2 linked regions of the Sus scrofa genome follow. The main gene of each other region encodes a partner of the protein of the gene in region 2 in a complex. Links are inferred from orthologs where the notes say so. Each region holds a gene or a part of one and is shown on either strand. Other genes may lie near its edges.

Evidence for each region. Proteins that work in one complex are often made in the same cells at the same time.
Region 1: the proteins of PAK4 (region 2) and FAM212A are in contact, whole or in part, in a crystal structure (PDB 4XBU), measured with the Homo sapiens proteins. The link is inferred for Sus scrofa from reciprocal best matches to the Homo sapiens genes PAK4 and INKA1. Residues at the interface, in NP_001014831.1 of Homo sapiens: Ser331, Gln358, Arg359, Glu361, Leu362, Thr404, Asp440, Lys442, Ser443, Asp444, Phe461, Leu475, Val476, Gly477, Thr478, Pro479, Tyr480, Trp481, Met482, Arg489, Glu507, Glu512, Phe516, Asn517, Glu518, Pro519, Pro520, Met524; in NP_976248.2 of Homo sapiens: Gly178, Arg179, Ser180, Arg181, Gln182, Pro183, Leu184, Val185, Leu186, Gly187, Asp188, Asn189, Cys190.

What each region holds. Positions count from the first base shown.
Region 1 is NC_010455.5:32,328,386-32,333,298, reverse strand, and holds FAM212A (PAK4-inhibitor INKA1), read right to left. Parts: upstream 3,428-4,913; 5' UTR 2,774-3,427; coding exon 2,723-2,773; exon of another isoform or gene 2,661-2,722; intron 1,980-2,660; coding exon 1,173-1,979; 3' UTR 1,132-1,172; downstream 1-1,131. Other genes in the region: UBA7 (ubiquitin-like modifier-activating enzyme 7), read left to right, coding at 10-102, 178-278, 749-878; CDHR4 (cadherin-related family member 4), read left to right, coding at 4,161-4,209, 4,565-4,749, 4,874-4,913. UniProt on the Homo sapiens protein: Inhibitor of the serine/threonine-protein kinase PAK4. Acts by binding PAK4 in a substrate-like manner, inhibiting the protein kinase activity.
Region 2 is NC_010448.4:47,867,961-47,872,831, reverse strand, and holds the start of PAK4 (serine/threonine-protein kinase PAK 4), read right to left. Parts: upstream 3,229-4,871; 5' UTR 3,019-3,228; intron 1-3,018. UniProt on the Homo sapiens protein: Serine/threonine-protein kinase that plays a role in a variety of different signaling pathways including cytoskeleton regulation, cell adhesion turnover, cell migration, growth, proliferation or cell survival.

The sequences.
Region 1 (4,913 bases), on a different chromosome or scaffold from region 2:
CTCCCACAGTTCCATGACCTGAAGTGGACCTGTTGGGACCGCCTGGAAGTGCCTGCTGGGCAGCCCATGAGGACCTTGGAGTCATTGTTGGCCCATCTCCAGGTGTGCCCCATTCCTGCCCTGTCCCCAGGTCTGGCCCAGCCTGGCCCATTTGGAACCTGACCTATCTCTTTCTAGGAACTACATGAGCTGAGGGTGAGGATGCTGCTGCACGGGCCAGCCCTGCTCTACTCGGCAGGATGGTCGCCTGAAAAGCGGGCCCATCATCTCTCCCTCAGGTGAGCCCACACCTAGCTTTAGCCAGGGTCTCATTCAGTCCCTAGAGGTTTTAGGTGAGGGACAAGTAGGCTTTCCTCTTCCCAAGCCCTTCAGGCCCCTCACACGTTCCTGAAGTTTTCTTTTGCCAAATGGAGCCAACAAATGGGCTGGGGGTGGGGTGAGGGGCCAAGAGCCTGAGGAAGGGCCTCTAGGAGCTCCCTGCTTGGCCAGCCCCACCAGCTCCTCCACACCCTGCTCAGCTACCCTTTCACAGCCCACTCCCAAGGGACTCACGGCTTCCTGCCTCCTGCCCGCCCCGCCAGCTACTCCTAAAATAGTTTCAGATGTTTCCTGTCTTGGGCTGCTGCTGCTCCTGGCCTGGGATCCTTATAGCCCATCAGCACCCTCTAGTCCATGCCAGGACATTCTCTGCCTGCCACTGCTCACATATTCCATCTCTCTCCCACCCCTCTCCTCCTCCTGCCACCAGGGTGACAGATCTGGTGCAGCAGGTAACAGGACGAGCACCTGAGCCTGGGCAGCGGGTGCTTGTACTGGAGCTCAGCTTTGAGGGTGAAGAGGAGGACACTGCCTTCCCACCCTTGCACTATGAGCTGTGAAAAGGCAGCAGCCCCACTATCCAGCTCTGTCAAGCCCTGCGTCCCAAGCCCACAGTAGGTGCTCAATAAATGCTTGTTGAAGGAAGGTGTAAGTGGACAGGATGGATGATGGAACACAGAGCAGGCACATGGGGGTGGGACACAGGCATGACATGGACCCCTGCTGGGAGGGAAAAGACTCTAGATTTGCTTGAATTGTGCCTTGTGGGTCTGAGGCTGCCTCCTGGAACCTCAGGGGTATGGAACCAGGACGTCCAGAGAAAGGCCTTTATTGTCCCAGGCTGGAGGGCAGGGTCAGAGGTAGCTGACAACATCATTGCAGATGATAGGCTGGCGACTGCGGCAACTCATAAGGGCTGCAAAGCGCGAGACATCTGTAGGCAGTTCGGGTTCTGGGCGAGGTGGGCATGAGAGTCGCTTTCCTGCCAGCGCTGCCCGGCGTGCCCTGGCCAGCTGGCGCCTCAGCTGTTCTGAGAGACCAAGTAGGAACTGGGGGGGGCGAGCACGGGCTCGTGGCCCACCCCCATCATCCCCCTCACCTGAGGCCTCTGGCAGCTCCATCCAGTTGTGCACCAAGTCAGCAAAGCAATTGTCCCCTAGCACCAGGGGCTGGCGACTGCGACCTCGGCTCAGCAGGGCTGCTGTCCAGTCCTCAGCTTCCAGCCCTTGCCAGTGCTCCAGGCAGGCATCTGGGGTGGACTTGGGCCGTGGTCGGTGGGCAGGTGGTGCACTGGTCACAGGAGCCCCACTGGGCAGGGGAATGCTACTGGCTGAGAGGTGCTGTCTATGAGGGGGCCATACTGGGGGTGCTGGGTGCTGGAGTATGGGCAGCTCTTCCTCTCTCCATGTGCTGCCTGACACCTCTGAGAATCCAGAGTCCCAGTCCAGGGCATGCTCCCTGGGGCCTCCCAAGGCTGCACCCCTGTCTCCTGTCACCATAGCGTCTTCCTCCTCTTCCTCCACACCACAGACTGAGTCCTCTTCCAAGGCATCTGAATCTGAGACCCTGAGCCGGTGCTTGGGCCGCACGCCTGGATCGGGTTTGGGGGGTGGTGGAAGGGGGCCAGGCATGGGGGATGAGCCTGTGTCCCGGCCACACAGCTGTGGAGGAAGAGAGGGCAGAAGTCGGAGGGGCAGTGCTTCTCATGCCTGCCTGCCTGGCCAGTTCTATGCCAAAACAGAAGGCCTAGGAGAGCTGGATAGGCCTGCAGGCCTAGGCAGCAAGGCCCCTAGTGGGCACAAGGCCGGCATGGGGTGCTGGCACATGAAGCTCATGTGGCTTCCATTGGCGGACCCGGTGGCAGTCTGGCAGGCTGCAGCACGCTGAGCTGGGCAAGTTGGTACCCGCCATCGGGGCGGGAGGCAGTGTTGTGGGCCTACATCGGGAAGTAGGACTGCTCAGGGCTGGGGGGGGCACTCCATGCCTCTTTAGGGATTTGGCTCCCCAAAGCCCGCAACGTCTTTCAGAGGATAGACCACGTGCCAGGTGGGGTGCAGAGGACAGAGGTACAGGCCAGCCTGGATTAAGCTTTCACAGCAGCACCGGCACCACTTTAGTCCCTCGCAGCCCTCCCCCCCCATCCGCCCCAAATAAGTTTCTCCCTCCACCCCCGCCCCCAACTTCCTCTGCCGCGCACAGCACAGCCAGCTGGGTGGTTGTTACTTGATGCCCAGCGCAGCTCTCAACCATCTGAAACCCGACGTGGGCCATCTGCGCCGCCCCGCCCCCATTCTGCCTTGGATGGGCACTCGGGACAGCCCCCCACCCATGTGTCGTTCCAGCCGGACTGCAGCCGAGCACCCCACAAGCGTCTTAGCGAGCCACACCCGCTCCCAAGCCTCACCAGTTCCCAGCGGAGCTGGCCAAGAAAGCTGTCAAGCCGAGTGCTGTGCATGCCCGTGCCGGAGCCCCCGCCAGGCCTGCCAGTTGCTCTTCGAACTCCAGCAGGAGCGGTGCGGTGAGGGCCGGGAAGGCCGGCCAGCGGAGCCCTTGCCCTCCGCCAGGCTCAGCGGCTCCTCCCTCTCCGTAGCTCCCGCCGCAGCAGCAGCCACCGCCCCAACATCTGGCAGCCCCGCCCCGCCCCTTGGCGCCGCAGCCAATGGGGCTGGGACGGGGCTGATGTGGCCCCGCCCCCTGGGTCCAGCTGGGTGGGAAACCCGACGCCCACTACCCACTCCGCAACAGCCCTGGGGGGGAGGGGCTGAACAGGGGCCGAGAGCTGGGCAGTGTCCTGCTTCCGAGTCCTCGAAGTCCTGGGCGGTTGAGCTGACTCCGAATTCGTTGCAAGACTCAGGACAAGCCGCTTCCCTGAGGTAGCCTCAGCTTCTCCATTTTTCCCGGGTTAGAATTGCGGTCCCTCCCACAGGGGCCCCTGCAGCGCGCGGGTTCCGTGGCTGCGCCCTCACGCGGCTAGAGCGCCCCCAGTAGTCGCATCCGACAGTGCTGTGGCCCACTTGGGGCCTGACCCACTCAATCTGTTCATGGGGCTGGCTTCGACAGTCCTTAGAAGTCAGGAAGGGGTTCGGCCCTTTGGATGACTCCGGGAGCGCGGAACCTCACCGCCCCCACGGAGTAGCAGCCGGAGCCCAGGCCCAGCCCCCGCGTCTGTACGAAGCTAGGCGGGGCTGCCCTCTAGTGGGCAGCGCGCGGTTATCTGCTCTTCCTGCCGCGACACTCACGTTCCCTCTGCTTGGCACCACATACACACTGAGAGTAAGGGCAGGAGGCCACTTTTTGCCCCCTCCAGTTGATGTCCCCCAAAGTAACCACTATTTTTGCTTCTATTGCCAAGGATACCTTTTGTTTGTTGAATGTAGACAGCTTTTGAGAGATTTTGTTGATGGTTGGGCTCAGATTTTATAGGCAGGTGATATTCTAATGGGGGGGGAAGCTAGAGTTCAGACGCTATGGGGTAGCAGGTCCTGGGCCCAGTTTTCCTGGGTCCTGTGCTTACTCTGTCTCCAAGAACTGTGTGACCAAGACTTCCTTGAGCCTCAGTTTCCCCATCTGAAACTTGATTCTTCTCTCACGTCTGTTTCAAAATTGTAGTAATAAATTGGGGAATTCATTGGGAGCAGTGAAAAAAATGGGTATTTCCAGACCTCTTGATGCCTGTAGAGTCTAGAACTCAGTCACCAGGGATGGGTGGGGCTAGAATCTTGGAGGCCCAGGAGTACCGCCTGCTCAGCTGTGTTTGAGCAACTGACCTGGCAACGGGGCAGGCCTGAAAAACACGTCTGTCTTTCTGGAGTCTCCTCTGCTGTCTGTATCTTCAGGCCGCTATGGTGCTGCTCAGGTCCCTGGTGCTTCTTCTTGCTCTGGTTGTCTCTGGTGAGGAGCTGGTGGGTAGGGGGACTTTAGTTCTCACCTCCCTCACTCCACAGTGGAGTCCTGACCCCTTTCAGATAAGCTCCCATGGAGGGCAGGGGCTGGGGGAAGGAAGCCAGGAAAGGACAAAGATCTGAACCTCTGGCCCTCATTCCTTATCTTTGCTTCTTCTTCAACCAAGTTCTCACTCCTAGTCTGTGAAATGATCTGACTTGTGGTTAGATGTGAGAGACAAGGAAAGACTTCTGCTTGTCCCCAAGATGTGGCTAGGCCCTAAGGCAGAAGGGAAGGACTCTGCTTGTGTATATGGTTGCTTGAACATGGAGAGCCTCCAGCCTGAATTGTCTCTTCCTCACAGATCATCACTGCCTGCCCTGGTTCATAAATGTCTCTGAGAGCCAGGGACCTGGCACCATCCTTCACTCTTTCTCCTTCAACTGCTCTTTACACACACCCACCCTGGAGTTGCTCCATGTGAAGCCACCCACCACCTTCTTCAACCCACCCAGCCTCACCAGGTGGCAGGGGATCTATGTGGGCAAGGTAGGGTCACGGGCACAGCTGGGGACATTGGGGAAATAAAGGTGGACACTAAATTCATTAAGCCAGCGGTAGTATAGGGGAATGGAGAACCTAGGTCCCATATGGCACTGCCCACCTGCTGCAGATGACCTTGAGCAGCATGGCCCGGCTGGATGCCCTGACAG
Region 2 (4,871 bases):
TAGTTGTGAATCCACCCGAAGGTAGTAACAGCAGAGGAAGGCTGGACACCCAATCCAGCCCCTGGGCTACAATCAGCAGAGAAGGTGGGGAGAGAGGGGGCAGAGAAGAGGGGCCTTTAACTGTATCCACTTGGTGCTCCGTCCCAGGTTGGACACTGGAAACGTGGGTGTTTTGCTACAATGAAAGCCCCACTTTTTTCACTGCACTGAAATGTATCACAAGGAAAAAACTGGCAAAGAGAAATCATTTGCCCAAGGTCCCACGGCTGGTAAGTGATGGGGCAGGAACCTGAATGTGTGTGTCCAGGGCCAAAGCCCTATCACCACCCCCTTATCTGTGCTGAGCCCTGAGATGCCGAGTGAGCTGGCACCACCAGGCCCCGAGGCTGGCCGGCCTCATAAGGCTGCCTGGCCATGTGCCCACACAGTGACCCTGCCAGAGCCAGGTGGGGGCAGGGTGGCTGCCGGAGCAAGCCGGGAGGCTGATGGAGAGGCTATGCCACCACCTCTGAGACCCTCCCCAGGGAGCTGTAGCAGCGGCAGCCTCAAGACTAGTGCTAATCCGGAGTTCTGTTGTGGCTTAGCAATAAAGAACCTGACTAGCATCCATGAGGACGCAGGTTCGATCCCTGGCCCTGCTCAGTGGGTTAAGGGTCTGGCATTGCTATGAGCTGTGGTGTGGGTTGCAGACGCAGCTTGGATCCTGCTGGCATACACCAGCAGCTACAGCGCTGATTCGACCTCTAGCCTGGGAACTTCCATATGCCGCAGGTACAGCCATAAAAAGAAAAAAGAAATTAGTGCTTACCCAGTTCCTATTTTGTTCCAGGCCCTAGGCCTAGCGTTTATGCTCTGCACCCTCACAGCAGTTCTACAGGGTAGCCACTATCATTATTCCCATTTTGCAGAGAAGGAAACAGGCCCAGCCTACAGTCACACAGCCTGTAAGTGATGGAGCTGGGTGTGAGCCAGGCACCCTTGCTCCAGCATCCTCTCGAATTACTCCCTAGTACCACCCCAGAGTGCCACACACGGGGCAGCTACTCATCGGCCCCTGCCCAATGCCCCCACCAGGCTGGGCAGCCTAGGGGTCTCACACAGGCCACACGCTGCCCACAAGCCCCCAACTCTGCATCCCTGGCCTCCACTCACACCTTTCCTCCTGCCTGGCCAACGCTTTCCCATCCCCCTACTCGTCCTTCAGAGCTTGCCCAGGGACAGAGTTCTTGGCCCCGGTTGGACATTCTCCGGGTCCCCGGAACATGTCCTCGCAGGTGGCATCACCACTGGTAGAGATGGAGCCATGTATCACAGGCTAGGGGTCTGGGTCCAGTCTGCTCCCACCGAGGGACACTGAGGGCCCTCAGGGGCCAGGGGCTCTGTGTATTTTGTCCACTGCTGCAGACTCAGCACACAGCACCCAGCCCCGTGCCCAACATTCAATCCCCACCGACCAGCATCCTCTGCAGACTCTGCAGACGAGGCAGTGCTTCAGGTGGAAACTCAGGGAAAGGACAACCTGGAGAAATTCCTGCCCTCGAGGGGCCCAGCATCGAGATAGAGAACAATAGCGAGATAAGGAGTGTCTGGGGGCAGGCTGGTCAGGCGCAGGTTCCAGATTAGAGGCAACTGGAAAGTCAAAGACCTGGAGGGAGGCATGAGCCCATGGAGCTGAAGAGCAAACAGGCCGGTGTGCTTGGACCTTGGGGAGGGATGGGGAGAGCAGTAGGAAGTGGGATGGGCGTGCCTGAAGACCATGATGAGAGCCTGGGGTTTTAAATACAGAGAACACCCGACTCTGTCCAGGGTACCGCCCCAGGACCCCCGCCAGAAGCCTGTCAGACTCCCTCGGACTCTGGGCCACCCACAAACACCCCATCCCACAGGCCCAGGGGAGCCTCTCCTCCCAGATCACACCCCTCCATGGAGGCCAAAGAGACAGCCCTGCCCAGCCCAGCCCCCTGCTTCCAGGAACAGACCTTCAGCAAGCTACGATGTGGTGACTAGGGCCAGGAGCTCTGGGGTCATTCAAGATTCAGCTTGGAATCTGCTTCTGTCACTCAGTAGAAACTCTTTGAGCCTCACTTTGTCTGTCTGTAAAGTGGGTCCATCTGGTACCCACTTCACAAGATTATGGTATAAGTCCGGGCACACAGGGCGCTGAGTACAATGTTAACTCTCATTAAGCATCAACCAACATCATGAGAATCTGAGAGCCTGCGGAGCCTACAACTCTGAACCCCGAGTTCAAATCTGAGCTGCACCACTTACTCATGAGAAGACCCTGGGCAAATCACTTAACCTCTTAATAATGGCACCAAGCCCATAAGGTTGTGTTCACGATCAAAGGTAATGTAAAGCATTTAGAACAGAGCCTGACACACAGTAAGTGCTCTAGGAGTGTTTGCTCTTATTTTCATCATCTGTGGGAGGAGGGCTTTCTCCTCTTCCCCTCCCCCGCCCCCCCCCGCCCCCGCAGGAAGCACCCTTGACCTTGTTCTTGAATGTCCTACCCCTCCTCTTCAGCAACACGTCCCACCTGGGTTTTAACTTCTGACCCCTGAGAACATCACCTGTCGGGCCACCAGGTTCTGATCTTTGCCCCCTTTGGTCAGGCCCCACTTTTGATCCCATACAGATGTCCCCCAACCTAAATCTCATTCATTTGCTCCACTAGCTGCTGCCCTAAACCTCCAACTCTCAGACCCTCGCAGGCACATCCTCCCTTCAAATTGACCCCCATTTTTTTAGACATTCGCCCCCCTGCCCCTCCAACACGCTCCTACTTCAAATTTCCAATTTTGCACCCCTTCGCCACGCCCCCTTTGCTACCACGACCTCTGACCTACTCTACACCTCCCCCCTGTTCAACGTAGACCCGCGACCCACCCACGACGCGACCCTTTCCTTCGCGAGTCAACTTTGACCCCAGCGGCCCCGCCCCCTATTCCCGTAAACGCTCTCCCACCGCCATCGCCGGACCCCCCCCACGTCGCCTGGCCAGATCGCTTATCCTACCGGCTCGGCACCGCAGTCGCTCGCGGCCTAGCTGCTCGGCCCGGAACTTGGCGCGCTCACGCCGCCCTCAGCTCTCTTGCGCCGCCGCCACCACGGCCACTGCTGCCGCCATGTTGAATCCCCAACGAACATCCGGGGCTTTCCCCCCTCGCCGCCCACCAGTCCCCATAGCAACGGGGCTGACCGGCCCGGGGCAGGGCCGGCTCAGGGGCGGAGCTGGGTGCCCGGCAGGGTCCGCTCCAGCCTCTGATTGGTGAAGATCGTCCAATCGGAAACCTTAGGGAGGAAAATGCCAAGCCGGGATTGGAAAATTTGGAAAGGGTGCGGGGAGGCTGGCTCCAGCCGGCTGAGATTCTTAAAGGGGAAAATGGTTAGGCGCCTGCAACAGTCCTTCCCACCTTCTCTCAAAAGCAGTCATGGGGGGTAGAAGGCAGGCATGGGTGATTATGGCCAGAAACAGCTTTTGAACTTTTACTATGTGCCAGACACCCCGTCAAGTGCTTTACTTGCATTATCTTGCTGAATACTCGTCACAACCCTGTTATTAATATCCGTTTTACAGATTAAAAACTGAGGTTCAGCGGGGCGAACTAGCTCAGTTGGGATCATAGTCAATAAATAGTGAGTTTGGACGACCTTTGTCTGTCTGAGTCCGGGAACTTGACCTGGAACCAGGACACTGATTGATCTTAATCTTTTTAATAAGTTTTTTCAAAAGTATTTATTTGATTTGTTGGAGTTCCCGTCGTGGCTCAGTGGTTAACGAATCCGATTAGGAACCCTGAGGTTGCGGGTTCGATCTCTGGCCTTGCTCAGTGGGTTAAGTATCTGGCCTTGCTGTGAGCTGTGCTGTAGGTTACAGTTGCTGTTCGGATCCCACGTTGCTGTGACTCTAGTAGGGCGGCATCTACAGCTTCGATTCGACTCCTAGCCTGGGAACCTCCATATGCCGCGGAGGGGCCCTAGAAATGGCAAAAAGACGAAAAAAAAAAAAAAAAAAGAAGTAATTGATTTGTTTAAAAAAAAAAAAAAAAAAAAGGAGGGGGAGGAGGATGGGAAACCCCCGTAAACTAAACATTTTTTTCCTGGATTTCACTCACTGGTCTCCAGCCACTTTGCTAAAAAAAAATCAAGTACTCATCTACCTCAAGGTCATTGCATTGACTATTCCTTTTGTTGGGCATAGACTCTCCCCCCTGGTACCTTCATGGCTCCGTCCCTTCTCTTCTTCAGGGTTTTACTCAAATGTCACCTTATCAGTGGGACTGTTCCTGCCCACCCTGACTAAAGCAGCCAAAGTCCCTCTCACATGCTACTAAACCACTTACCTTCTCTGCTTTTTCTTATTTTTTGTTCCTCTTATCACGTTCTAACAGGCTAGATGATTAGCTAATCATAGTTATTGTTTTTCTCCTGCTGGAATGTCAGCTCCATGAGAGCATGGATTTTTGTCTGTTTTGTTCACTGTGGGCTGCCCATTTGTTGAATGGATGGTTGGATGAGGTGTAAAGCCACTTTTTCAGAGATACTCTTAAATGTTTAGTGCATCTTCCCTGCCCTAGCACAGTGTCTAGCGCATGGTGGGCATTTAATTAACATCTGTAGCAGCAATGAATGAGTGACTGTGTAATGAGGTTTTTTTGTTTTTTTGTTTGTTTGTTTGTTTTGGCCACCCAGTGGCATATGGAGTTCTGGAGTTCCAGGGCCAGGGATCAAATCTGAGTCACAGCAACATCGGCTCCTTAACCCACGATGCCGGGGATCAAACCTGTGTCTAAGTGCTCCCAAGATGCCCATGATCCCTTTGTGCCATAGTGGGAACTCCAATGAGTTTTTTTTTTTAAACCTATACC